Linked DNA regions of Xenopus tropicalis. The protein of the gene in region 4 purifies or fractionates together with the protein of the main gene of each other region. This does not show direct contact. Links are inferred from orthologs where the notes say so. Each region holds a gene or a part of one and is shown on either strand. Other genes may lie near its edges.

Region 1 (4,219 bases), on a different chromosome or scaffold from region 4:
GGGCAGCATGCTGCCACCAGATCCTTGGTGCCCTTGGCATGGCCCTTTGTGGCTTGCCCACAAATCCAGGCCTGAAAATAAGTAGCTGTGTAGCCACGGGGGCTGCCATTCGAGTTGAAACTGGGTTAGATGCCACAGATACAGAGCAAATCTGATATGCAATCTGTGCCTTTTCTTGTTTTCAAGCTAAATACCTACCCCCATAGCTACACAGCAGCTTATTTATTTAACAGTAGTAGAGTTTGTGAAGCAAACACACAAGTTTTACCAGTGCAGGGCAGCAGTACGTTATATATTTCAATACCTTCATCATTTTTTTTTTTTTAATGTTACTTTAAGAGAACCCACATCACCAACTTATTTCAAAGAAGTACCTTTTGCCTAAATTTTATAAGTAACATTAGAAAACTATCAATGGCCTGGCATTTGGACATTCTAAGCAGTATATTTCTCTGGCTTATGAATCAATCAACACCCTATAATGAATTTATTGTTGGAATTCACTTTCTGTCTGCGCTCACAGGCTGCCGACATGCCGGTCAGTCCACTAGTAAGAAGGAATGGATCCACTTGCATTGGCCTGTTCCCATTTTTACGCAGGTGGGGAAACAGCCCTGTGTATCACTAACCTAAGCCAGCACTAAGGAGACCTAAAAAAGTTAACTAAAATAGGGCTGTTTTTTTCCTCCAGGTTGATATATTTGATTTTCTCTGTTAAAATGTAATAATACAATTTAGATTCAGCGTTCTGCTATATTGTTAATGCAGGATTCAGCTGAATCTAAAAATGAAGGATTCAGTACATGCCTTTATTAAAATCAATTATAAATACCGCAACTACAGTCATACCTACAAGGTGTAGCTAAAATGGCCGATTGGATTTTTCTCTTCTAACAAACACAAGCCTTGGAGTTGTAACCATACATCCAGACTGCTCAGCCCCTAACTAGCACCACCATGTGTACAGCCATAATGTTTGCTAAAGAATGTAAGCAAAGTATCAATAAACCTGCAACACTGGATTGCATGGGGCCAGCAATTACCAGTCTTTCCCACTCACAATGATTGACCAGCCTCTTGTTCTGTCACAGCCTTTCATATCATTGCTTTTTATAACTGAATCTTTGTTATCAGCAAAGGATGAGTCAATGCATATTAAACTATGTACGTACCCCCAGCTGTTACCCACCACTCCCAGGACAAGGGAGGCACGAAGAGTGATACTGGCAAATGTGCAGAAACAACTGCTAGAGGCAGGGGCATAGCTGCAAGTTACTTAGCTCCACCGTAACATTTTTAGCTCCCACTCGCTTTAGGGTGAAGACACACAGAGCTACTAGTAGTAGCTACTTTTTCATGGCTACTTAACTCCAGAAAACACCCTGCCATAGACAATACTGAGACTTGCCTCTGCTAAAACGCACACATAGAGACAATTACAGGTATGGGACCCATTATCCAGAATGCTCATGACCTGGGGTTTTCCAGATAAGGGGTCTTTCCGTAATTTGGATCTCCATACCTTAAGTATGTTAATAAAATTATTTAAACATTAAATAAACCCAATAGGCTTGTTTTGCCTCTAATAAGAATTAATTGTATCTTAGTTGGGATCAAGTACAGGTACTGTTTTATTATTACAGAGAAAAGGGAATCATTTAACCATTAAATAAACCCAATAGGGCTGTTCTGCCCCCAATAACGGGTAATTATATCTTAGTTGGGATCAAGTACAGGTACTGTTTTATTATTACAGAGAAAAGGGAATCATTTAACCATTAAATAAACCCAATAGGGCTGTTCTGCCCCAATAAGGGGTAATTATATCTTAGTTGGGATCACGTACAGGTACTGTTTTATTATTACAGAGAAAAGGGAATCATTTAACCATTAAATAAACCCAATAGGGCTGTTCTGCCCCCAATAAGGGGTAATTATATCTTAGTTGGGATCAAGTACAAGGTACTGTATTATTATTACAGAGAAAAATGAAATAATTTTTTAAAATGTGAATTATTTGATCACAATGGAGTCTATGGGAGACGGCCTTTTGGTAATTCAGAACTTTATGGATAATGGGTTTCCGGATAAGGGGTCCGATACCTGTATCAGTAAATGATCAGCATTGTCTATTTGAGTAGCCATGACAAGTACTAGTAGCTACATGTGTCTTCACCCATAAGAAACATTTTTCATTAAAAAAATAATAAACTGTTTATCAGTCCCCCCCCCCCCCTGACAAGAGGGTTGCAGGTTAAGCATTCCAGTAATTACAGCATGAGCGATGGCCTAGGTGTGCAGTAATACAGTAAAAGGATATTGCCTGATCAGACTGTCCACCTCGGCCTCGTCGGGCCCCTGAGGCTCGGCCGGTTCCTCCTGCAGCTGATCGTCAACAAATTTGTTCTCGTCGTACTCGTCTATGTCCACCTTGCGGAAGCGCGACGACAGCGTGTTCTTGGCCATGTTAGGCTAGCCGGCCGGCTGCAGCACCCACAGGAAGGGGGTGTGACACCCTGATAGGGTGTGAGCGCAGGGAAGGTGACAGGAACCGACTGCCACTACAAACACTCAATGAGCCTGACAGCAAAACGCACCCCCTTCAAAAATGCGGCCACTGATCGCTAGGGGCTACAGTAAGGCTCAATGAATTCTCTCAATGAAGCTGTGTGACAGGAATTGGGGGCTGAGAGAGAGGAGGGAAGGGGGCGGAGGCCAATGAAAAGGGGGTGTTGAGGCGCTTACTCCCTGGCTAGGTCGGACGGCAGCTACTCAGGGTGGGGGTGACCAGGGAGGGAAGTGGCGACTGAGAGGGAAGGGGGCTTGGCCGCTGTCACGGACACTCGCTTCCAGTCCAGCCGGCTCCCTCCGCTTCCGGTGACTCCGGCAGGGCGGAGCGTGTAGCGGAAGCGGAATGGCGTCACTGACATGAACGCGTGAGAAGCGAGAAGCCAACATGGCGGCCTCTTGTTGCTTAGCAACTCCTCAGGCCGTCACCCCAGGGGCTTGGGGGACAGTAGTTAGGGGCATAGATGTCAACATTCGGAAAAGAAATAACTGTATGGAGGAGGCATGGTGCCTTAAACGAAATAAACTTACATTGTGCCACACTACTTGGGAATTGAAATGCGTGCTGTAGTCACACAAGGCAGATTTATATGTAGCCTTAAAGAAGGTACATCAGTGAATTGCTAATTGGATATTAAGGGTCAGGATTTTAAGATACAGAAAAAAGTAAACATATGCTCAGAAGTAATTCGTAAATCTCACCCATAGTATAGATGGGCCCAGGTGCTCATGCCCCAGACCTTCAGCTAGAGGGAGCCATCATGGGTATCTCACAAACATTGAGAGAAGACAAACAAATAAATAAGGTTGAGGAGACTGCCTCACGCAGACAAAAGCAAACAAAAGGAATTCTGGGAACAAATTCCAGACTCTTTAAAAAAATCCCATTTACATGGGTTTATCCTATAGGCTACAGCTCACCCACTGGGTTTGAAGCTGAAGCCAGGACAATAGCTGATCAGATTCCCAACTACAGACCGGTTTCACCCTTATTGGGGGCTCATCAGTGTAGTGCAGGGTTTTCTGATCAGCTTAGGTAGAGTCACCATGTGGTTCTACAAACAAATAAATAAGGTTGAGGAGACTGCCTCACACAGAGAGAAGACAGGCACTCTGGTAGTTCAGTGAAGAAAAGCGGTTGTCCACGAGAAAGTAAAGTAAAATCACAAAACTTTTATTGAGCTAACACATGATACGTGAACTACCAGAGTGCCTGCCTTCTCTCAATGTTTGTGATATAGTCAGGATTTTGAGACCAGTTTCAAAGGGGTCATCTTTACATGGAAGCTAGTTAGTGCCTGTGGGTGGTGAATTAGTAGGTCAGATTGTTGGCAATATTATATAAATCATTTTTTCAAGGGTGATATGGCATTGGCAATTGGACTATCCACTATATCAGAATGGCAGTAAATGACAGCGCCAAAAAAATACCATGATTTGGTCATTACTAGGTTTGTACTTTCCTGTTAATTTACCTGCCGATCATTACAAGTAATGCCCTAGAATGCTGACTAAAAGCTGCAATTATGAGAGTTGTTCTTGGACATATGAATTGCTTTCTGGCTCTTATGACCTCCATATTGTAATATTGATTATTATTTAACCTAGAAAAACGCACTCATATCTTAAACTGTGTGTGCATTGTAATTGT
Region 2 (3,500 bases), on a different chromosome or scaffold from region 4:
ATGGGCAACTTTTGCTAGGGCCCACTGGGAAAAATCCTGGTGGTCTAATGAGACACTGATCAAGAATGTAAAAAGCAAAAAGTGGGGCAAGACTAAATACTACTGAACTGCAACTACCAGGCACAATACCCACAGAGCTGGAAGTCATTCATCCCCAAGTTGTAGCCTTACCTACAGATTCCAAGTGGTCTCCTTCATGAGAGTGTTTGTATAGAAAGAAGTGGTAACGGGCTGTGTCTTGTGGTATTCTCCCTGGTAGATCTTTTAGCTCTGTATGCTTTGTATGAACCAAGTCTACAGTCTCCTTTTCTAGATCCAATCTCTACAAAACAGAAAGACATTCAGAAAACCAAAAGGCAGTCGATAGTGGTAAAGGCACTAGTGGGTAAACTTGCAGAATGTGGGTGTTGGAAAAAAGATTCTACAGATCACAAGAGTTATTGGCCTAAGTCAGAACTCTGCAAATGGAGGTCCACAAGTTATGGGCCCTGCTAGGGCACTCAAGACTGCCAGGAATTCCAAAAATGTCTTCATTGTTGTAGCTGAAGTACAATATGGAATCTGGGTTTTCAGTCTGTGGGATATCTGGCCCACTACATCACATAAGCTGGACTGCAAAGGCAGGCATGGTCTGAGATTATTAGCTATATTTGACATCAGCCATTGCCAAACACCTATATCTTCACCATTGTGGTAATCTTGATGGTTCACAATTTTAGGGTAACAGAACAGGAGGAGATTTGGACAAAACTCCTCTAGTTAAAGACATGTTATTTCTATTAACTAATATATCCATTTTTCAGAGGAGTAATTAAAACCGGAATTTTCTAGCAATGTTTAATTTATATATATGCAGATATCAGTAAGCTCCATCTATCCAGAGTGTTGAACTATACCTTGTCTGGACTTTTTAGAGACCACAATTTGTTGTTATCCACACTCCAACTATGTTATGCTATATTTATATACTGTTAATTTAATGTTATGTATATATGCAGATTGGGCAGCGATTACTTTTGAGAGGCCTCTCCCATAATGGCACTAATGTTGATTTTACGGGTTACGTATTTTAATTGTACTGGCAGATCTGGAAATACATAAGGCTTTTTAATTACAAGTATGGGACCTGCTATCCAGAATGCTTGGGGACCTGGGGTTTTTTCAGATAAGGGGTCTTTTTATCATTTGGATCTCTATAATTTAAAAAATTATTTATACATTAATTAAACCCATTAGGATTGTTTTGCGACCAAGAATTAATCTTAACTGGGGTCAAGTACAAGGTACTGTTTTATTATTACAGAAAAAAATAAATTATTTGTAAAAATTAAAATTATGTGATTATAATAGAGTCTATGGAAGAGGGCCTATCCATAATTCAGAGCTCTCTGGATAACGGATCCTATACCTGTACTACTTAATTCAAAGGATTTTTTCTTTTTTGTTTTTATTTTAATGATGTTTACTTATTCGCTTTCATCTAGGGGTTAAGACCTTTCTTTTTGGCATGGTTCCTATTTCATAGTCATATTTTGTTCTTTTTTTGATTTTTGCATTTAAAGCTGTAATAACTGTTGTGATTTGAATTACATACAAAGATTTAATTTGGAGAGTAGGAACTTTTTACGAATCACTATGTGTGAATAAAAGGAAGAATTAGGAAAGGCTTTATATTGGCAGTAGTAGGAACAGAATTACCAGCTGAATATAATTGATTTTCTTCTGTTTTAAGAGCAGGATTGCCCCCTCCGCTTCTGGCCTTAGAGGGAAGGAGAGTCCTTGCAGAGTCTGTTGTTTACTCTCTACGCTGATTTCAGTTTTCACCTTGAGAGAGACACAGAGGGTTAATGGGGAACTTAATTATCAAACTGCATGATTTACAGAAACAGCCTTGAGACTAAGTGCAGATACTAATCTGCCAAGATGTTGAAGACCCCGCAATAATGAATAAATAAATGAATATTAAATGAATGCCAGTTAGTCAGTGTAACTCTCAAACTGTAATTAACTGCAGTAGTACTTTATTGACCACTGACCAATTGTTAGTGGTGAATCCTGGCTGAAATACTTTAAAGGAGAACTAAAGAGTAACAAAAAGTACAAACCGGATTCCAAAAAAGTTGGGACACTAAACAAATTGTGAATAAAAACTGAACGCAATGATGTGGAGGTGCCAACTTCTAATATTTTATTCAGAATAGAACATAAATCACGGAACAAAAGTTTAAACTGAGAAAATGTACCATTTTAAGGGAAAAATATGTTGATTCAGAATTTCATGGTGTCAACAAATCCCAAAAAAGTTGGGACAAGGCCATTTTCACCACTGTGTGGCATCTCCCCTTCTTCTTACAACACTCAACAGACGTCTGGGGACCGAGGAGACCAGTTTCTCAAGTTTAGGAATAGGAATGCTCTCCCATTCTTGTCTAATACAGGCCTCTAACTGTTCAATCGTCTTGGGCCTTCTTTGTCGCACCTTCCTCTTTATGATGCGCCAAATGTTCTCTATAGGTGAAAGATCTGGACTGCAGACTGGCCATTTCAGTACCCGGATCCTTCTCCTACGCAGCCATGATGTTGTGATTGATGCAGAATGTGGTCTGGCATTATCTTGTTGAAAAATGCAGGGTCTTCCCTGAAAGAGATGACGTCTGGATGGGAGCATATGTTGTTCTAGAACCTGAATATGTTTTTCTGCATTGATGCTGCCTTTCCAGACATGCAAGCTGCCCATGCCACACGCACTCATGCAACCCCATACCATCAGAGATGCAGGCTTCTGAACTGAGCGTTGATAACAACTTGGGTTGTCCTTGTTCTCTTTGGTCCGGATGACATGGCGTCCCAGATTTCCAAAAAGAACTTCGAATCGTGATTCGTCTGACCACAGAACAGTCTTCCATTTTGCCACACTCCATTTTAAATGATCCCTGGCCCAGTGAAAACGCCTGAGCTTGTGGATCTTGCTTAGAAATGGCTTCTTCTTTGCACTGTAGAGTTTCAGCTGGCAATGGAGGATGGCACGGTGGATTGTGTTCACTGACAATGGTTTCTGGAAGTATTCCTGAGCCCATTCTGTGATTTCCTTTACAGTAGCATTCCTGTTTGTGGTGCAGTGTCGTTTAAGGGCCCGGAGATCACAGGCATCCAGTATGGTTTTACGGCCTTGACCCTTACGCACAGAGATTGTTCCAGATTCTCTGAATCTTCGGATGATGTTATGCACAGTTGATGATGATAGATGCAAAATCTTTGCAATTTTTCGCTGGGTAACACCTTTCTGATATTGCTCCACTATCTTTCTGCGCAACATTGTGGGAATTGGTGATCCTCTACCCATCTTGGCTTCTGAGAGACACTGCCACTCTGAGAAGCTCTTTTTATACCCAATCATGTTGCCAATTGACCTAATTAGTGTTATTTGGTCTTCCAGCTCTTCGTTATGCTCAAATTTACTTTTTCCAGCCTCTTATTGCTACTTGTCCCAACTTTTTTGG
Region 3 (3,983 bases), on a different chromosome or scaffold from region 4:
AGTAAAACAGGAATTCTGGTTATTTAATATAAGATATAGTATGCTCTTCCCTGCAAGGCTAAAAATGATTAATGAATGTTAATGGTATATTATGAGACTAAATAGACATTTACTTTTGGGAAAAATTGCTAGATTTTAAGGTAAACATAAATTAACGTGTTGTTCAAAAATATAAATATGGTGGAGGGGGTATGCATTTTTCTATATATAAGAAAATGTATTAAAGTGTACCTGTCACTGCCCCCCCCCCAGGAGGTGCGGGCTAATAGAGCCAGCACTCTGGTTGTGGGAAACAAGTTTTTAAAGAACAAAAAAAAAAAAGTGTCCCTGCCTGTGCTAGGCTAGCTCTACTGGGAGGGAGCCCCCAGTGCAGCCAAGCCTAGCACTGCAGGGGGCATTTTATAGAATGAATTGCAGTATGTAGAAGCTTTTCAACATTAGCCTTTAGGTCAGAAAGCAAAGAGCAGATATGCTGGATTCAGGTGGAGGACAAAGATGATATTAAGATTAAGCCTAACAATATTTAAAATATAAATCGTTCCGCAACCATGGCCCAAAGCATGAGCACTAGTAAGTTTCTCATTGATTTGCCATGGGAATACCCTAGTCATTGTTTGGTCCTGTGTTGTCTACACATTGGACAATGCAGTTCAACCAATGCTTTCTGTAAATCAGTATATTTTTAAAAAATGGCTGCATGGCAGTGCTGAAATTAATCTGATATTTATTCAAGATTAATATTCATCTTGGAGGCAGTACCAGTAGACCCTGCAAGTGAATACTTGCAATATTCAGTAGACCCTATGAAATTGTCAGATTCTGATACAACTTTATAATTCGGAATAATGACCTTTACTATGTAACTAAATAATAATTTTTTAGGCGATAAAGGGGAAAAAAAATCCTTACCTACAACGGGGGGATTTGTTAGTCTATATAAGTTAATTATTTGTCCAAATTCTTATTTAATTAATGCAACTATAAATGCATTAACCTAGTTTAAGGGACTTAAACTATCAGCTTATATTTTGGCAGGAGACCAGTTAAAAATGCCATATGATGCTCCTGCAGTTTAGACCTGCTAGATACATTAGATATGCAGTTACACATTATGGTCACAAGTATTCTATTGGAATTGGCGATTTAAGACACCCATTGTTGCTGCCACTGGCGCCTTTCCATCATACAATGACATTCTTTACAATATCATTCTTCCTGGCAACAATGTGGGGGAAGGCACTTGCCTGTTACAGCACTATAATGTCCCTATGTACAAAGCAAAGTCCATACCAAATTTGGTTGCTGGGATGGGAGTTAAAGAACTTGAACAGTCTGCACAGAATCCTGACCTTAACCCAAGTGAATATCTGTGGGATAAACCTAGAACCCAGACGCGAGGAGTAGAGAATTATGGTTTTAGAAGCAAAGAAAAGGACCAAATATATATTGTGTGATTAAACATTTCTTTATTCAGTGATTGGATAAGGTGGTTCATAACTCTGTTTCGGTTATTGTGAGTGTCGTGAAAGGTCCCTCAAGTACTAACACTAACCCACTAAGCAAAAATGGCACTTCCTAACCCATACAGAATAAGGCATTTTAGTAAGTATCAGAAGAGAAAGTCACTTAGTTCTGTGCACTTAAATATAACGGTAACACACTGTAACACTCGCATTGTTTGAAATATTCATCCAACCAAATGTGACTAAGAGCCTATACTCTTTCGACCTTTAATTAAACTCCCCCTGAAGTAGAATTTACTCTACAGGAGACAGTCAATATGAATATAAACACATAAAAGGATTCATTTCCAAAGGATGCAATTCCTCATAAGCCAAAAGAATCTTACTTTGTTGTCCATATAAACTGGCCCCAAACTGTGACAGCTGACCCGATGCGGATGGTGATGGAGATGCCAGCATCTAAATAACACGAAACATATATATATATATTTATATATCATTAGTGCAAATGAACACAATGAGAGAAGGCTCACAAAAATGTATACCCAACAATCTCTAAATCAGTCAAGATCTAGACTGACTATCTTTAAATTTCCACATAATTTTTCCAGCTACACAAAGTTACTGGGTTACCTTACTTCACCATATAAAAAGGTTCTTTATTTTGCTTCAGAAGTATGATAGTTTAACAACATAAGCACTCATGAATATGTTGAAATACAAGCATAGTACTTTTTTGCCAGAAAAAAAAAACACAGTGGTGTGAAACTGTTAAAAGCCAACTGTGCTTATTTACAATGCAAGCTGTCTTTTTAAATGTATTTATAAACCTTGTTTGTAACTATACATGAATTAACACCATACATCACAATTACAAAGAGCAAACCATGGTGTTTATAAAAGGTATTTTATTTTGTCAGACTACAGCTGAAATTTACAGCTCCTTTTATAATAGAATTTTAAAATCTGCTACACATAAATCTTTCTGCAGCTTTATAGACACATGGGATTTTACACTATGTTGTACTTTAGGACTGTTTACATATTGTTATATATCTGTGCCTTAAATTGTCCACCAAAGGTATTGCCACTCACAGGAACATGCACCCAAGTCCCCAACCTTTGCAGTTATAACTTACACACTAAACACAAGAATACTTCTATTTTGTGTGCTCTGAAAGTTATTTGCAGCATTTTGCTATGAAACTCAACTTACATCTTTCTCCGACCGATGTGGAAACATCGTAGACTGGCTATAATACATATTCTCATCATGGTAGTCACTTTCGACACCTTCTACAAACTTCTTTCTTGAAGCACCAAACATGCTGTATGTCACCTAAAAATTAAAAAGCAATAAGATTACACCAGTGAGACAGACGCTGTGATTTTCTCTAAAACTAAAACTGATGATACTTTATTTACTTTGTTTGAAAAGCCTAAAGAACACAAAATACGTTTAACCACTATTTCTGAGCAACCACATAAATCCCATCAGATAATTCAAGCTTAAATATAAAAATAAATACAAAAATAGCATTAAGTTAATACCAACGGATATACGGATGCTTTCACTGGACTGGAAAAAATGGAAAAGTATTTTATGTTCGACTGTCTCATCAGCAGACCAGATAGTATAAATACAACCACTGGGACTCATTTGGATCACTTATTCTGTGGAAAGAATATTCACTAACTAACTGTTCTATAAAAGTGTAGTTATAAGAAGAAAAAAAAAACATCAATAAGGCATATTTTTTAAGTCAGCATATAGAGTGCAAAAACTGGGGTGATCGCATTTGGTAAATTGCTAAAGGACACATGTGGTTCAGGGTAATAGCACTGATTTGGGACAGTTAATCAATACATTTTTGAGCATTTTTTTTTTTTGAGCCAAACTGGCTAGGCTAAAGTATTAGTAGGGGAAAAAGTTTTGTGTTCCTTAACCATTGGGTTAATTTTTCTGTTGGGGTGCGACCTCTAAAGCTGTAAAGGATAGCACCTAGGCAGAATGGGGTCTAATAAAGTAAGATTAGACAGGGTTAAATAAATTCACGTGAGAATGTAGCGAAGTATAGTGGTAAAAAAAGATACCACCAAGAGATTTAAACTACATGATATTTTGATATTTTATCTGACCCACAAAATATTGTCACACAACTGCAAGATTTTGTGGAATCCTACAAAATATGATCCCCTCTGATGTAATGCACGTCAGATTAAATAAAGTCGGATGGAATGTTTTGTTTATGCAGCCACATCCGACAGTCAATGTATTTTAATAATAAGAAAAGAGTCTTTCAGACCTTATTAGACTTAATCTTGCCAGACGCAATTGCAGCGGCCCCTTCTAATAAGCATGCCATGTGTGATGGCACAACTAACTAACTGTCTGCAAATAGCTTTTTGGGCAAATTGTGAGGGCTACAGTTAAAAGATCTTATTGAGCATTATGATATAACTGGTATTTCCACACACCCCCCCCCACAAACAATTATAACTATCGAATATGTGGGAAAC
Region 4 (3,500 bases):
ACAGTCTCAGACACCATACAAAGTGCCCAGAGATGCCTCTGAGTGAGAGTATTTCCATTTATTTTAGATTTCATCCCTTTTAATGAGAGACTGGTGAGACCACAGGGAAACCCAGAGAAGCCCAAACTGATGGGTTTGTTTCATAATGAGCAGAACCAGGGGTGCGGGCCCATACATCCCTGCTCTCCTTATGGGTCCGAGTACTGACCTGTAGGAGTCTCCATCTCTGTTGTAGTCGCACAGCAAGTAGTCCTTTCCCACGACTTTGTCGCGAGCGATCTTCAGGGGCTGATCGACAGAAGACAGGAGATCTTCGCACAGACTGGGTACCTACGGGCGGAACCAGAACCCCAGGTAAGGAACATAGCAAGTGAGAATCGGGCCTGGCTAGTATTTAATGTAGGCAAATGGCACACAATTGGCACCACTGCCCTTTAAAAAGGTCTCTAACTGCCTCTGAGCTCCACCTTCCTGGGAAGCAGCACGGCGGCCATATTGGTGCAGGCAGCCAGGGCCCACACAGGTGATACCACTTGTACCACAGGGAGAGGGGTGTGGGTGAATACAGGTGGGCTATGGGACGCACGCTGCGCGCGCGGGGGGGGGGGTAACGGCACTGAAAGCAAAGGGGCTCGGGGAGACATCTGAGGAGGCAGAACACAAAGAGAAGACAAATTGAAAGAAGTTAATGAGATTCTGATAGAGATTTGGGAACAGGGCCGCCCTTGTTGTACCTGGGACCCCCGCGCTGCCCCCCCCCCCCATAATGCACTTGGCTCCGGCCCTACACAGACTTAATTAAACTCACAAACCCCTCACACAAGAATATCAGCCTTTGTCTGCCCAGAAACTGGATACCTGCCGGGGTGGCCGGCTCCTACACACGGGGGCAACCGAGGGGTCACGGCTGCCAGGTGGGAAAAGAGGGGGTAACAGCTACCTTTATACAGTCCCCCCCATCCTACCCCCCCGGATACTGCAGAACCTTCATCATCCTGGGAACTGGGGGGCACCTCTCCTCCACCCTGGGGCTCTGTATATAATATACCCCCATAGTACTGGCAGCCCCCATACCCTGACTGCCCTTACAGTAAGGAACCCCTTCCTATGCTGATGGTGAGATCCCCTTTCCCCCCACCCCCAATGAATCACTCATTCCCCCTCTCTTGTTAGGGAATCCCATAACCTGACTGCCCTTACAGTAAGGAACCCCTTCCTATGCTCATGGTGAGATCCCCTTTCCTCCCCACCCCCAATGAATCACTCATTCCCCCTCTCTTGGTAGGGAATCCCATAACCTGACTGCCCTTACAGTAAGGAACCCCTTCCTATGCTGATGGTGAGATCCCCTTTCCTCCCCAACCCCAATGAATCACTCATTCCCCCTCTCTTGGTAGGGAATCCCATAACCTGACTGCCCTTACAGTAAGGAACCCCTTCCTATGCTGATGGTGAGATCCCCTTTCCTCCCCACCCCCAATGAATCACTCATTCCCCCTCTCTTGGTAGGGAATCCCATAGCCTGACTGCCCTTACAGTAAGGAACCCCTTCCTATGCTGATGGTGAGATCCCCTTTCCTCCCCAACCCCAATGAATCACTCATTCCCCCTCTCTTGGTAGGGAATCCCATAACCTGACTGCCCTTACAGTAAGGAACCCCTTCCTATGCTGATGGTGAGATCCCCTTTCCTCCCCAACCCCAATGAATCACTCATTCCCCCTCTCTTGGTAGGGAATCCCATAACCTGACTGCCCTTACAGTAAGGAACCCCTTCCTATGCTGATGGTGAGATCCCCTCCAGCAATGGAAACATGTCTGTATCTGGTGCTGGCAGCCATGACACTACTGTAGAACTGTAGCGAGGAGAGCACACAAATCACTGATGGGGGCCCCACAGCGGCCTCAGTCGTTAGCGTGGATGGGAAATCATGTGAGTGACGGGGCCGCTAATGTGCTCTAATTAATAGCCTGCTGGTCCCAGGAAGAGGACAATGGCCGAGGCAAAGGGTACGCACTAATGAGGGCCGGGGGGCTGAGATCAGGAGATATAACTACGTATGGAACGCTGACCCCTCTGCCTCCTCTAATTGCCCTGCCGGGGCCCTTCCGCCTTCAACTAGAATCTCAGCATGAGGTGCCCAAGGGCCACATTCAGTCCTTGCTATGTTATTAGTCAGCTCTTCAGCCCAACGTTTCTTCCTGCTGCATCACGGGGGCAGTTGGTTGCACCAGAGGAAATGTGTCGCTCCTGGAGTCCCCTGGTGCAACCAACGGCAATATCCCAGCGCCGCGGGGCACGGCCGCACCTATTGGCCGCGGGTGAGCCCGGACGTAGGGGGTTTCCTTACCAAATCAATGAGGTCGCTGAGGTTCTTCTCAATTTGTTGGGGAGGGAGACGCCTCATCAGATCCAAGGCACAGTCCAGCTGTTGTTCAGTCTGAAAAAGAAAGGGGAAACGGCGCATTAATTCTAATTAGAGCACAAAGGGCAAGTAATAAAAGGAGAGAATACAGGTTTATAAACCCAGAAGTTGCCAGAATGCAGAACTCAGGCCCAGACGGCTACTGAAGCTGGACCCACTGCCGTGATAATTACAATTATTGACATTTATAGCGAGTTTCCATATCCCCTATAGGGTGCTAGCACTTACGTGGCCAGCAGGGGGCGACCTATAGTAAGCGATGAGGGCTTCAGAGCTACAGGCTGCTCAGCCATTTGAACCATGGGAAAAGTTTATCCAAAACCCTATGTTTATCCATATACCCTAAGTTCGGGGCAAAAGGCTGCCCAGTTCTGCACAAGAGCTTACAATCGATGCATTCTATGCTCAGCCTGGGCTGAGTAATACAGGGAGCCATGCAGCCAATCAGCGGAGAGACTGGAAGGTGTTATTAGGAGGCGAGGAAGTGGGGTCCCTGCTGACATATTGGGCCAAACACAAAGCAGCGGGGGCATCTGGCGCACAGGGGGCCGGTCCAGCAGAAGCGCAGGTGACTCTCTCCCAGCGGGAGCCCCGGGGCATTTGCGCAGGAAACACCGGCTTATTTTATCCCACTGTCTCTAGCGGCTCCCAAAGGTCATGGGAAGCAGAGAGAGAGTCTTCTGGGTGATGAGAAACGGCTGTAGGTAAAGGGAAAGTAAGAAGACTGCTACATGCACTGAGTCTGGGGGGAACGGCCGAGCAATTACTGCTCAAAGGGACCCTGTCCCCAAGTTCCTGCTGAATTGTGCTTAGTACAGGGGAATCCCTATGTGCCATAGTTTTATGGTATCTCTCTGTACAGGCTATGAGCAAACTTAGGGGGCTGTTCCTGCTGAATTGTGCTTAGTACAGGGGAATCCCTATGTGCCATAGTTTTATGGTATCTCTCTGTACAGGCTATGGGCAAACTTAGGGGGCTGTTCCTGCTGAATTGTGCTTAGTACAGGGGAATCCCTATGTGCCATAGTTTTATGGTATCTCTCTGTACAGGCTATGGGCAAACTTAGGGGGCTGT
Region 5 (3,250 bases), on a different chromosome or scaffold from region 4:
GCTATTCGTTGCTTATAAGCCAATCAGGGCTGGGTATGAGCACATGGAGGAGTATGGACACACTATTTCCTGTACTCTAAAAACAAATGAATGAATACAGCAATAGTTAGAAATAGTTGTATAAAAAAATTAAATAAAAATGGGGCAACTTGTAAAATGTGTCAACTTGGTTGTTACCTACAAGAAAATATGATACAATATGTTGGCTGTATCCTTCAAGGGTTGGTTTAGCACTTTACAGTATTGGATCCATATTGTGGGTTAAATATGTCCTGACCACATTTTGCATCTGATCTACATGAACAATTTTAGGGTCAGTGCGGTTCATTTACAAGAAAGGTGATTTAAAGTTAAAAGGCTATAACTATAACCCTATAGGAACTAAGTCTAGTAGCATTGCAAGGAATGACGTGTGCACATCAATAGAATATCAGCAGAACATTCATGTGGCTTTAGTAGAGGCACATAGTACCAGAGTGTGCAAAATATTAATCCACCAAGAAGTGTACAAAGTGTATTGGTCTTGATCAGGGATGGTCAACAACGACAACTTTCCATCACTTGTTATACTACAACTCCCAGAATCTCCTGGCAGTAGAAGAACGCTGGAAGTTGTGCTGGAGGGTTGACGGTTGGGCATCGCTGCTTCATATAATATCGTATGCAGGCTGCCATGTTCAGGAAAGCAGAATTGTCAATTAATACAGCCCTATTTCTCCCCAAGGAGTACCATGACTTTGTTAAGAAGACAGTACAGGAGGACATTTTTACTGTTCCAATACAGAGTATCACATTTCACCATTATAACAATTAGGCACAAATGCGCTCGATTATTTCTGTATATAGCCCAGGAACAGACCACTTATTATTACTGTATTTGCCATAACATCCATACAGTAGACCACAGACAAAGCTTAGGGACACCTAATTAGCTTCTTTTTAGCTGGGACAAGATATTTACTTAATAATCTGCGGACAGTCACTCCAGGCTTTTGATTTCCGTTTGGCTAAGGCAAGCCAGGCGGGCTCTGATGACACAGGAGAAGCATCTGGTGTAGAAAATCGCTTTGGAATATCCTTTGCTAGAGGAGGAACTTGAACTGCATCTGTGATTTCCACTGTGAGAGACAAAGGGAAGATGCAAGAATATTTCTCAGCACTCAGTGGGGGCAGACACAGAAGTAATTACAATGCATAGATATAAGCCATCAAGTTCCATTCAGATTCAGAAGAACAAAATGATGTAGGTAAAAATCATGGTTGTTGAACTATTAAATGGGCCATAGACATTCTAGAAAGAAAATGGTCATTTAAGGGGAAGTTTGCGCCTTTACTGAGTAAAAGATGTATACATTTTTACTATTGTGTATATTTATTTTGATGTTATTGCAATATTTTTTCTGTTTGTACTTTCACTGTTTTGTAAATATGTACATGGTACTGGTAGCTCTATATAAATAAAGATATATATATTTTGCATATGTATTTCTCAGATATCTGTATAGACTGGAGGAGAGTGAAATGAGTAAATGGATGTGGATTCCCATGTTATTAAACCAGAGGGGCAGATGCAACATGGCTTAAAGCAAAACCAATGTTATAATGCAGTGACTCCCTCTCTACTGCAGCTTTGTAACTAGCCGTCAACAATGAAACTTGGCTCTCCTTATCAGTTATGTAAAAAAAAATAAGTCTCATCTATCTCACAAGCACAATAAGGCATTGGGTGCATAGCTACAGAATAAGATATACAAAAAATTACCATGCCAAATATAACTAACAAAAAAAACATACAACTTAAGCACAAAAAGGATAATTAGATGTATAAAACAAAGCTCAAACATGAAGTGCAAAAATCAAATTTAGACAGAAAACCCCCAGAGCCCCAGACATTAACCGGGTGGAATTGCTTAATAATATAACATTTGAGACTTGTTCCTTCACCTCACCTGTGACAGACGTGGGAAGTGTGTTTGATTTCTGTAGTTGCTCTCTGCGCTGCAGGCGAGTCACTACGGTCTCACATTTCTTCTCCTCTTGGGCTACTGGCTTTTGCAGGGATCCAGACCTGTTTCTGTATTCTCCTGTTATGACAGGCTCACTGGCCTTTTAATGGATAATTCAGAAAAATCAGGTTTTACTAACATATCAAAGTCATAGGTCAGTCATATGTATTCAAAGTAGAGGGAAGGATGGTACCGTGCACACAATAAGCTTCATTTCCAGCAGGTGTCTGGTCCAAACACAAAGCCAAAGTAACACTGGAGCGGCTCAATACCAAGTGGTGAATGTTCTACAATGGACTACTATTCATTGAGAATCTATGGCACAAAGCTGGTACATACTGTACTTACCCCAAAAGATTTAAAGATGTCTTTATACTTTTTCTTCTTATTTCTACCTAAGCACTATCTCTTGCAATGATAGCTTTAGAAATGACATTTCAATATAATCATAGCTAGAACCATCATGAGTGTGGAATATATATTGAGTATCGAAAAGAACTAAACCCCCACAGAGAAAAGCTTCACATACTGCCTTCAATTGGCCCCCTCCCTCCTCACTCCCAGCAGGTAGAAAAATGTCCCCATCTGGAAAGGTATAGATGCAGAGTAGCACAGTGGAGTTCATACGTACTATTTTCTTAACTTTGCTGATGGACTGAGCTTTTTGGCATATGCACAGTTGGAGCTAATCCCAGAATCCTAGCGTCAAGTACGTTGTAGAACTTTTCAAACAAAATCTGAAGGTCCAGAAGATGGCAGATGGAAATGCCACTACACTACTCTACATCTAAGTTAGTTTTCCAGACTGGGACACTTTTCCATCTAATAGACTCTGTGGGGAGGGTGCAGGGAGGTGGGATGCAATAGAGGGCAGTTTGGGGGGGGTTAGGTCTCCATTAAACGGGTGTCAACCCTTACATATGCTGAATATTTTCATTAACCTGCTTACATTTTCTTTAGTGATCTTGTCTGACAGTTTGGCTTCCCTGGCTTGTCTTCTCTCTTCCCTGGAAGCGTGCTGTTCCCGAAATCCTTTCTGCTTCTGTAGGGCTAATGTTATCCAGAGAGGCTGCGCTGTCTCTGATTTTTCCATCAGCCTGGTACCATCAAGGGAATGACGGCTCTGAAGAGTTGGCCTATCTAAAAGGACACATAGCACAAATGCATTATTAATGAAAGTCACCATGGGCAACGGAGTGATAGGTAGAAGTAGCATCCCCTGTAAGCCTTCAACTGCAGGTGAT
Region 6 (3,500 bases), on a different chromosome or scaffold from region 4:
GGCGAGGATTTTTTCCAAAGTAGCCCCACAAATGGGAAAACCATTTGCATCAGTAGAGAAGATTTATCACAGGCGACTAATATAAACGTATGTCACTGCCCAAAAGGGCTATGGTGGCCTTGGGATTAGTTCTCCTTTACAAATACAAATGTTTCCCAGGTGACACAAGGCTTAGCTCAGCAGCCATCCATTCGCCTTGGATCACATCGAAATAGCTGACATATAGGTAACAAAGCGGAGCAGAAACCAGAGGGAAGGAGTGGAGTCATAGTGAATGAAGGTTCTTAGCACTGGGATGAGACATGTTACCAGCCTGAATCATCCCCATGTTCTCATCCCAATATGGCCCACACATTCCTACACAAGGCTGGTTTCAATTAAATAGTACAGCGTTCCGTGACATTATCCTATAGCTTCAGCCTACAATCCTGATTCACAAAGCTCTGTACATAGGCATTACCTCTTTCTCCGATATGTAGAGCTGATCCCCCCGTATAGCCACGTAACGGTTCTTCCAGATCTCCCTGAAGATGCCCTTCCCGCAGTATTTCCGAATCCATCCCACTTTTTCTGGCTGGCAGGGGGCATGGTTCCCATCTAAAGGTCCCTGGGAAGTTAAAAAGGTGGAGCACAGATGAATATAGGGGAAACCATCACATTAATATGAACTGTCGGCAGCTGGCAGACTTGCCCCAAAGGCCAGTGAAGCCAAGGTTAAGCTTTATATGCCCAATCCAAGAAAGGGTAACTGACCCAAACTGCCTAACCAAACTGAGAACTGGGTCCAGAACAAGGGAGTAATGTGCCCAATGACCCATTGCAGGAGCATATTCATTAAATACTATTATACAACACTGGGTAGGAACATAGAGCTGGACGATATACATAGAAGCGCAGTCCTATTAGCGACCAACATACTTTTCCATATCCAATATCCGGCCACTACTACAGCTTCCAAGCGTTGTTCCGATTCTGGGAGTTCTGTACTTTGGAGAGCTTACATGGCTCTAGAGTGTAAGCTCTTGGGAAGCAAATCTGCTGGTTGATGGTGACACTGGTTGGTATGCAAACATTTCCATATAGAATCATATATGAATGTGTGTTTTTAATACACTATGCATGCATGTAACAGAGAGGGCAAGGGTCAGGGTAAGGAATAATGCATTTGTGAGAATATTCCTCCCATCACAATAGCAGCATCGTTCATACAGTTACCCCCGTCTACTTTTAGATTGTAAGCTCCAATGAGCAGGTCCTTCTTAACCTTCTGTAGCAGTCACAACCTATATCTTTGATATACACCCTTCTACTTTACTGCACTGCAGAATATATTGGTGTTTTTTAATACATACTGATGATAACAATAATACAGTACCCTCTTTATACTGTCCTACCTAGAGGTATGATAAATTAAATATATGAACTTTTTTATATCATGTTTGTATAGGAACTTTATTGCCTATTTCTATGCATACACACACACACACGGCTATATGTACACACAGTATTGCTATTGCAGCATTGTACAATAAAAGCAGTGCTTATACAATAGTATATATATAATTATATATATATTTAGAGAAACATACATATACACAGAGATACAAACATCCAAAGGGATGGTATGATTATTACATTATGATGATCATTAATATTGTTACTATTATTATTATCTTATTAACACGCATTGATAAAGCACCAACATATTCTGCAGCGCTGTACTACTGAAGAGTGTTTAAATCAAACATATAAATGACATATAGGTACTGACCACTAACAGAGGTAGAGAGGGCCTTGCTCAAGAGCTTGCAATCTAAAAAGTACTATCTATAAATTTATATGCAATGAATGAAACTATACAGCATTCAACAATAGCATTTAGTGAGATGTATAGATTTAAATATGTAGCAAGACAATATTACAAATACATACATTTATATATAAATATGAGAGAAGATAGATCACTGAGTGCAATATTTATAGATAGATAGATAGATAGATGATGGATAGATAGATAGATAGATAGATAGATAAATGGATAAAGATAGATAGATGATAGATAGATACATAGATAGATAGATACATAGATAGATAGACAGATTATTGTATAATACAGTAGATCCAATAGATTAATGCATATACAAAAGAAGAGCTAAATGGCACCAATGCAATGCAGTGGGGGGCTGAAGGAGCCAGAGGAGGATATATATTACTGCATATCTCTGCGCTGCATCCCTGTGTGGCTGGGGGCAACCAAGGAAGGGACCAGTAATTGCCCAGCTCAGACCCATAAGAGCAGGGAATGTAGGGCAGAGGCTGGCCGGCCAGACACAGGGGGGATACAGGGGGTGAGGGGGGGATCAGTGTCTATAGAAGAGTAAGAAACACTCACCCTCTTTGCAGAAAGGTTCTTCTTCATGCTGCCAGGGCTGAGGCTGAGGCTATGGAGGCCAGAGTGTGCAAGGGGAGGATGGGAGGGTGCTGCTGGGTGCCTGCCTGGGTGCAGCAGTGGATGTGCCGTCTGCGCTCACTGCTCCCTCTCCAGCCTTCTGTTCTGCAGATCAGACACACAAGATCTGGTTTCACTAAGTCCAGCCAAGCCTCTTTAGCTCACACACAGTCATGTCCCCACACTCAGCAGCAACAGCCACACACTCACACACTCACACACAGCCTACCCCCCCTCCTTGCCTCTGCCCTCTCTCTTTCTCTGTTCAGTAGCTCCATCTATGGAGAGTCACTGTGAGTGTGATGTGAGATCAGAATAGAGAGGACATTACAACACGTCAGGGTTACTCCTTTGTTTCCCATTTATTCCCCCCAAGCTGGAAGGCAGGCAAGGGGGGCTGGAGTGGTGGGAAAGGAGGAGGAGGAGGAGGAGGAGAGGGATGTATGGAGGGGAGGGGGGGGGGGAGATGTGTCTGATTGTGTAATTCCCAGACCCCCTACTGATCCTGACCTCTCATCTGCAATCAGATGGCAGCTCCCACCTTACCCTAAATGATCCCTGCTTTCTTTGCAATTGACTGGGGGAGAAGGCATATGGTGTATAGCATGTATGTGTCTCCAGTTGTCTGGGAATTTAAACTCTTTAAATCTCCATTAACCCAACAGATCAGCTGTTGCCAGAAAATATGCTTTAACCACAAACAAAGGGGTCAACGGTATATAGATCCAGGGGTGTATGTGTATTATACATAGAGCAGGGTTATATCCGTATTGTAGTATACATAGAACAGGGATACCCCTGTACTGTATTATACAAATGTCTTTATTTTATTATGCACAGAGCCAGGAATGTATCTTTATTATGCACAGAGTCAGGGGTATATGTGTATTTATACATAGGACAGAGGAAAATCTGTATTATACACAGGGCAGAGGGGTGTATCTGTATTACACACGGAGCTAGGGGTGTATCTGTATTACACACGGAGCTAGGGGTGTATCTGTATTACACACGGAGCTAGGGGTGTATCTGTATTACACACGGAGCTAGG
Region 7 (3,500 bases), on a different chromosome or scaffold from region 4:
ATCTGAAAGTGGACTGGTGTATGTCCTTGAAGTTTTAACCTCATTTAGCATGTCACTTAGACTGGCTTGAGGTGTTCTTGATGATAAAGGGGAAGTGAGTTCTACTTTTGTTGCCATGGTGTTGCCAGTTAGTATTCCATATGGAAAATATCCATCCAAGTGGCCGTAACCATCAAACCAACGATACTGAAATATGAAAATACAACTTAAAGTTAATAATTTAGCTGAGACAATAAATATTGTTTATCACGGCACATTTTTCTTTAAAATGAAAATGTTGTGTGTCTCTACCCTTTTGGACTACTTTCCAAATGATTACATTCAAAGTAGATGCAATTAGTACATGCCTATTAGTTGGATTATATTCCACTGTTTCTCATTCTTACATTATTATCACTTTTTTCTTTACCCCTGTCCTTTCTTTAATCTTTGGAACAACACATCAAGGATGATAGGTTAGAATTTGGCCTGCTGAATTTACAGAATAGCACAAAATGGTCAATCAATGATCAGCTCAGTTCAATACAAGTAAAATTTGCAAATGGCTAAAGAAGACAATTGATATCGGGATATTTAGTATGTAAACAAATTGTTTTAACAATAGTAAATAGACAGGACAGATCTTGACAAATTGCAAATTCAAGAATCCATCAAACTATTAAGGTTTTTGTTTGTTTTTAAGTTTGGGCCTCACAGTTATTAATATCTAGTTTTCGAGGCATAGCATGATCTTAATTACACTTTGCATTCTGAGCATGCCGTTTAAGTCATGAATCCTGCTTAAACTAAACCAAAAGATGCGTTTAGTCAGAAATACTATGATACCTGCTTGCATATAACAGCTGTAAAAGCACCCAAAACAGTAGATAAGAAAAAAATTAAAAGGTAAATCAACAGATACTTTGTTAGCACCCTGTATATGAAAGAGGTTTATGAGCATACATTTATCAATAGCAGCAATATGGATAAAATTTTTGGTTTAGTTGCTGTTTTGAATGTTGTTTTAAACAGTTTATTTTATTTTAAAGAATAAATTGATAAAATCATAGATAGAGAAAATTATAATAAGTTTTAAAAATATAGAAGGGCCTACACATAGCAAGAGAAGAACAGGTAAAATTAGATTTGAGTTAGGTGAAGATTTTTTCCATTGTTTGCTGTTTTTCTATATCACCATGTGTTCAACAAAGCACAGCACAGCCAGACATTTTCCTTTAATAAATCCTTTAAGTTTCCAAAAACGAATCAAGATAGCAGCAAATAACTGGCTACTTCAGCTCCACTGGGAGCTACACTGCAACATAAACTGATTATTTTTAAATTTGATTATTTAAATCAGGGCTGTCCAACTGGAGGTCTACAGGCCGGATGTGGCCCTCCAAAGGTTTTTTATGGCCCCCACTCTGCTCAAAGGCTCCACAGACTTCCCTATATGACATCATTTTCATTTAATCCGGCACTCGAACATGCTAGAGAGAAAAACTTAGCCCACTTCATGTAAAAAGTTGGACATCACTAATTTAAATGATACACATATGCATTTAACATGGTCATTGGTTTTGCTTGGTAGACAGCTCCCACTCACACGTTATAAACACAAATATGTAATAGAAATGTTCAATGCACGCAATAAGGCTGGGACTCACAAATATGTACTCCTGAAGGGGCACTATATTTCTTCTACAAGTGGGTCAATTATGCAGGGGGATTATTTTGTGATGTCTATATCTCTATCTACATACATACAAACCCACACACACACATACATAAACATTGGCTGTGGTCATTTCCTGATTTTTTTGTTAAGGAACTTTATGGGAAGTGACTGTAGGCTTATTTTGCCCACTCCCCCAGTGAATATAACTCCCAGTGCATCAACCCAGGGTACTTCTCAGTTAACACCAGAGAACAATACTCTTGATGCTTCTTCCTTCTTCACACCAGAGCACAAGAAAGAAAAAAAAATAGCCTTTTCACGCTACAGTGCGTGAAGCCATAGAAAAATAAATAAGTCGAAGAAGATGATCACTTTGTGGTACTCTGTGAAAGGACCCCGAGCAGATGCATTTTACTGCTAATAGGTGTACCGGACCATGGTATCAAGTGATTATAATCACTGGGGTGCCTAACATTTTGCAACCTTCCCAACCCCCAGTAATTAACCCTTTCCTTCTCCATATGGCTAATACCAGACAGGGCTAATTCTAAGCCTGCGGATAAACACAGGCTGAGGATCAGCCCCCTACATTTGATCAGCCTATCCCTGTGCCTGCACTCAGCCATTGCGTCTTTGGAGTACAGGCACACAGAGCAGATTTCAGCAGCAAAATACATACAAGAGCATTCTGTCACCAATTCCACTCCATTGGCCTGCATTTATCCACAGGCCGAGAATCAGCCCTGTCTAGCATTAGCCTTAAATTGCACTAATATATATGTTGTTGAAGCATACACTACCAATGTACATGCAACATGTTTAGTGTTTGGACACTTCCTGTATCCCCCTAAACACTTCTTTTGGATCCTTTGTCCTGGTGTCATTAGCCATTCTGATGCTTTCCAGGTAAGAGACACACGTGAATACACAAAATACTTGATAAACAAGGTCAATACTTCTGACTACAATTCTACATGTTTGCACTCTCGCATGCACATACCTACAATTAATGTGTGTACACATTCTATTTTTTTACTACTTTGTATCTTGTCTTTGCCCTAGATTAGGTACTTTGACCAGTAATCAGATGGTCTTGTCAAAACCTTTGTTATGTTATTGATTTGAATGACTTTATGGCATTATTAGTTTTGCACTTGTTCAATACTTGTTTTTGACCATAAAACTATAGTTGTGCACTGTGAGTAGTTGATTAGGGCACACTGTGTGATCACTTATTTTATTATTTTGGCTGATTTTATTGCACTTTTTCATTTGTGTATGAGAAACTAGAATGCAAAAAAACAAATTGTTATATCTGTAATTATTGGTGCATCCAGGTGTATTATCCTACTCAGGCATATTAGAGATTATATTGCTTATTGTGAGTATTTGGTTTTATTTTGGCTATAATATGGTGCAATTGTAAACATAAAACAAGTTCAGCCAAGCTTTGCAGTTTGGTAGATTAAAGCAAAGACAGTTGCAGATTTTGAAAATCTACTTTCCAAAAGAAATGTGGTTTTCTGGGATCATCTCATTGTTTGGGGCTTGTACACTGCATAAAACATAGCCAGTTTGCTAACTTTAGCAAAGCTCTGCCCTTTGTAAGAATGGTGTAGAACTACATGCATCCATGTTGGATTTGTCTGAATATTTACTTTCCCAAAATAAAAAGGGCTTTCCAAAGTTGTATTTTGCCACAATACTAAATATATTTCTGATACTCTAATTATGAATAATAAGTACTCTTAATAATAATTAACAGTAGTGAAAGGAATAAAGTAATAGCATAAGCTGAATAAAACATACACAGCAGAGGTACAGGTTAAGGGCAGCAAGCAGT

What was found.
Region 1: the proteins of capzb (region 4) and arpc5l purify together in Homo sapiens (co-immunoprecipitation; 3 studies listed by BioGRID and IntAct, with this or other methods). This does not show direct contact. The link is inferred for Xenopus tropicalis from reciprocal best matches to the Homo sapiens genes CAPZB and ARPC5L.
Region 2: the proteins of capzb (region 4) and twf2 purify together in Homo sapiens (co-immunoprecipitation; 3 studies listed by BioGRID and IntAct, with this or other methods). This does not show direct contact. The link is inferred for Xenopus tropicalis from reciprocal best matches to the Homo sapiens genes CAPZB and TWF2.
Region 3: the proteins of capzb (region 4) and cnot2 purify together in Homo sapiens (co-immunoprecipitation; 4 studies listed by BioGRID and IntAct, with this or other methods). This does not show direct contact. The link is inferred for Xenopus tropicalis from reciprocal best matches to the Homo sapiens genes CAPZB and CNOT2.
Region 5: the proteins of capzb (region 4) and cracd purify together in Homo sapiens (co-immunoprecipitation; 3 studies listed by BioGRID and IntAct, with this or other methods). This does not show direct contact. The link is inferred for Xenopus tropicalis from reciprocal best matches to the Homo sapiens genes CAPZB and CRACD.
Region 6: the proteins of capzb (region 4) and plekho1 purify together in Homo sapiens (co-immunoprecipitation; 3 studies listed by BioGRID and IntAct, counting the BioPlex papers as one, with this or other methods). This does not show direct contact. The link is inferred for Xenopus tropicalis from reciprocal best matches to the Homo sapiens genes CAPZB and PLEKHO1.
Region 7: the proteins of capzb (region 4) and kiaa1671 purify together in Homo sapiens (co-immunoprecipitation; 3 studies listed by BioGRID and IntAct, with this or other methods). This does not show direct contact. The link is inferred for Xenopus tropicalis from reciprocal best matches to the Homo sapiens genes CAPZB and KIAA1671.

What each region holds. Positions count from the first base shown.
Region 1 is NC_030684.2:28,258,065-28,262,283, forward strand, and holds the start of arpc5l (actin-related protein 2/3 complex subunit 5-like protein), read right to left. Parts: upstream 2,801-4,219; 5' UTR 2,467-2,800; coding exon 2,321-2,466; intron 1-2,320. UniProt on the Homo sapiens protein: May function as component of the Arp2/3 complex which is involved in regulation of actin polymerization and together with an activating nucleation-promoting factor (NPF) mediates the formation of branched actin networks.
Region 2 is NC_030680.2:128,268,045-128,271,544, reverse strand, and holds part of twf2 (twinfilin-2), read right to left. Parts: intron 1,825-3,500; coding exon 1,699-1,824; intron 323-1,698; coding exon 172-322; intron 1-171. UniProt on the Homo sapiens protein: Actin-binding protein involved in motile and morphological processes. Inhibits actin polymerization, likely by sequestering G-actin. By capping the barbed ends of filaments, it also regulates motility.
Region 3 is NC_030679.2:59,329,634-59,333,616, reverse strand, and holds the start of cnot2 (CCR4-NOT transcription complex subunit 2), read right to left. Parts: upstream 2,801-3,983; 5' UTR 2,791-2,800; coding exon 2,680-2,790; intron 1,923-2,679; coding exon 1,850-1,922; intron 1-1,849. UniProt on the Homo sapiens protein: Component of the CCR4-NOT complex which is one of the major cellular mRNA deadenylases and is linked to various cellular processes including bulk mRNA degradation, miRNA-mediated repression, translational repression during translational initiation and general transcription regulation.
Region 4 is NC_030683.2:129,989,719-129,993,218, reverse strand, and holds part of capzb (F-actin-capping protein subunit beta), read right to left. Parts: intron 2,441-3,500; coding exon 2,351-2,440; intron 331-2,350; coding exon 209-330; intron 1-208. UniProt on the Homo sapiens protein: F-actin-capping proteins bind in a Ca(2+)-independent manner to the fast growing ends of actin filaments (barbed end) thereby blocking the exchange of subunits at these ends.
Region 5 is NC_030677.2:40,819,456-40,822,705, reverse strand, and holds the end of cracd (cancer-related regulator of actin dynamics), read right to left. Parts: intron 3,147-3,250; coding exon 2,956-3,146; intron 2,107-2,955; coding exon 1,950-2,106; intron 1,119-1,949; coding exon 958-1,118; 3' UTR 501-957; downstream 1-500. UniProt on the Homo sapiens protein: Involved in epithelial cell integrity by acting on the maintenance of the actin cytoskeleton. Positively regulates the actin polymerization, by inhibiting the interaction of actin-capping proteins with actin.
Region 6 is NC_030684.2:129,094,754-129,098,253, reverse strand, and holds part of plekho1 (pleckstrin homology domain-containing family O member 1), read right to left. Parts: intron 2,854-3,500; exon of another isoform or gene 2,555-2,853; 5' UTR 2,420-2,554; coding exon 2,393-2,419; intron 608-2,392; coding exon 461-607; intron 1-460. UniProt on the Homo sapiens protein: Plays a role in the regulation of the actin cytoskeleton through its interactions with actin capping protein (CP).
Region 7 is NC_030677.2:147,665,157-147,668,656, reverse strand, and holds part of kiaa1671 (uncharacterized protein KIAA1671 homolog), read right to left. Parts: intron 187-3,500; 5' UTR 118-186; coding exon 1-117.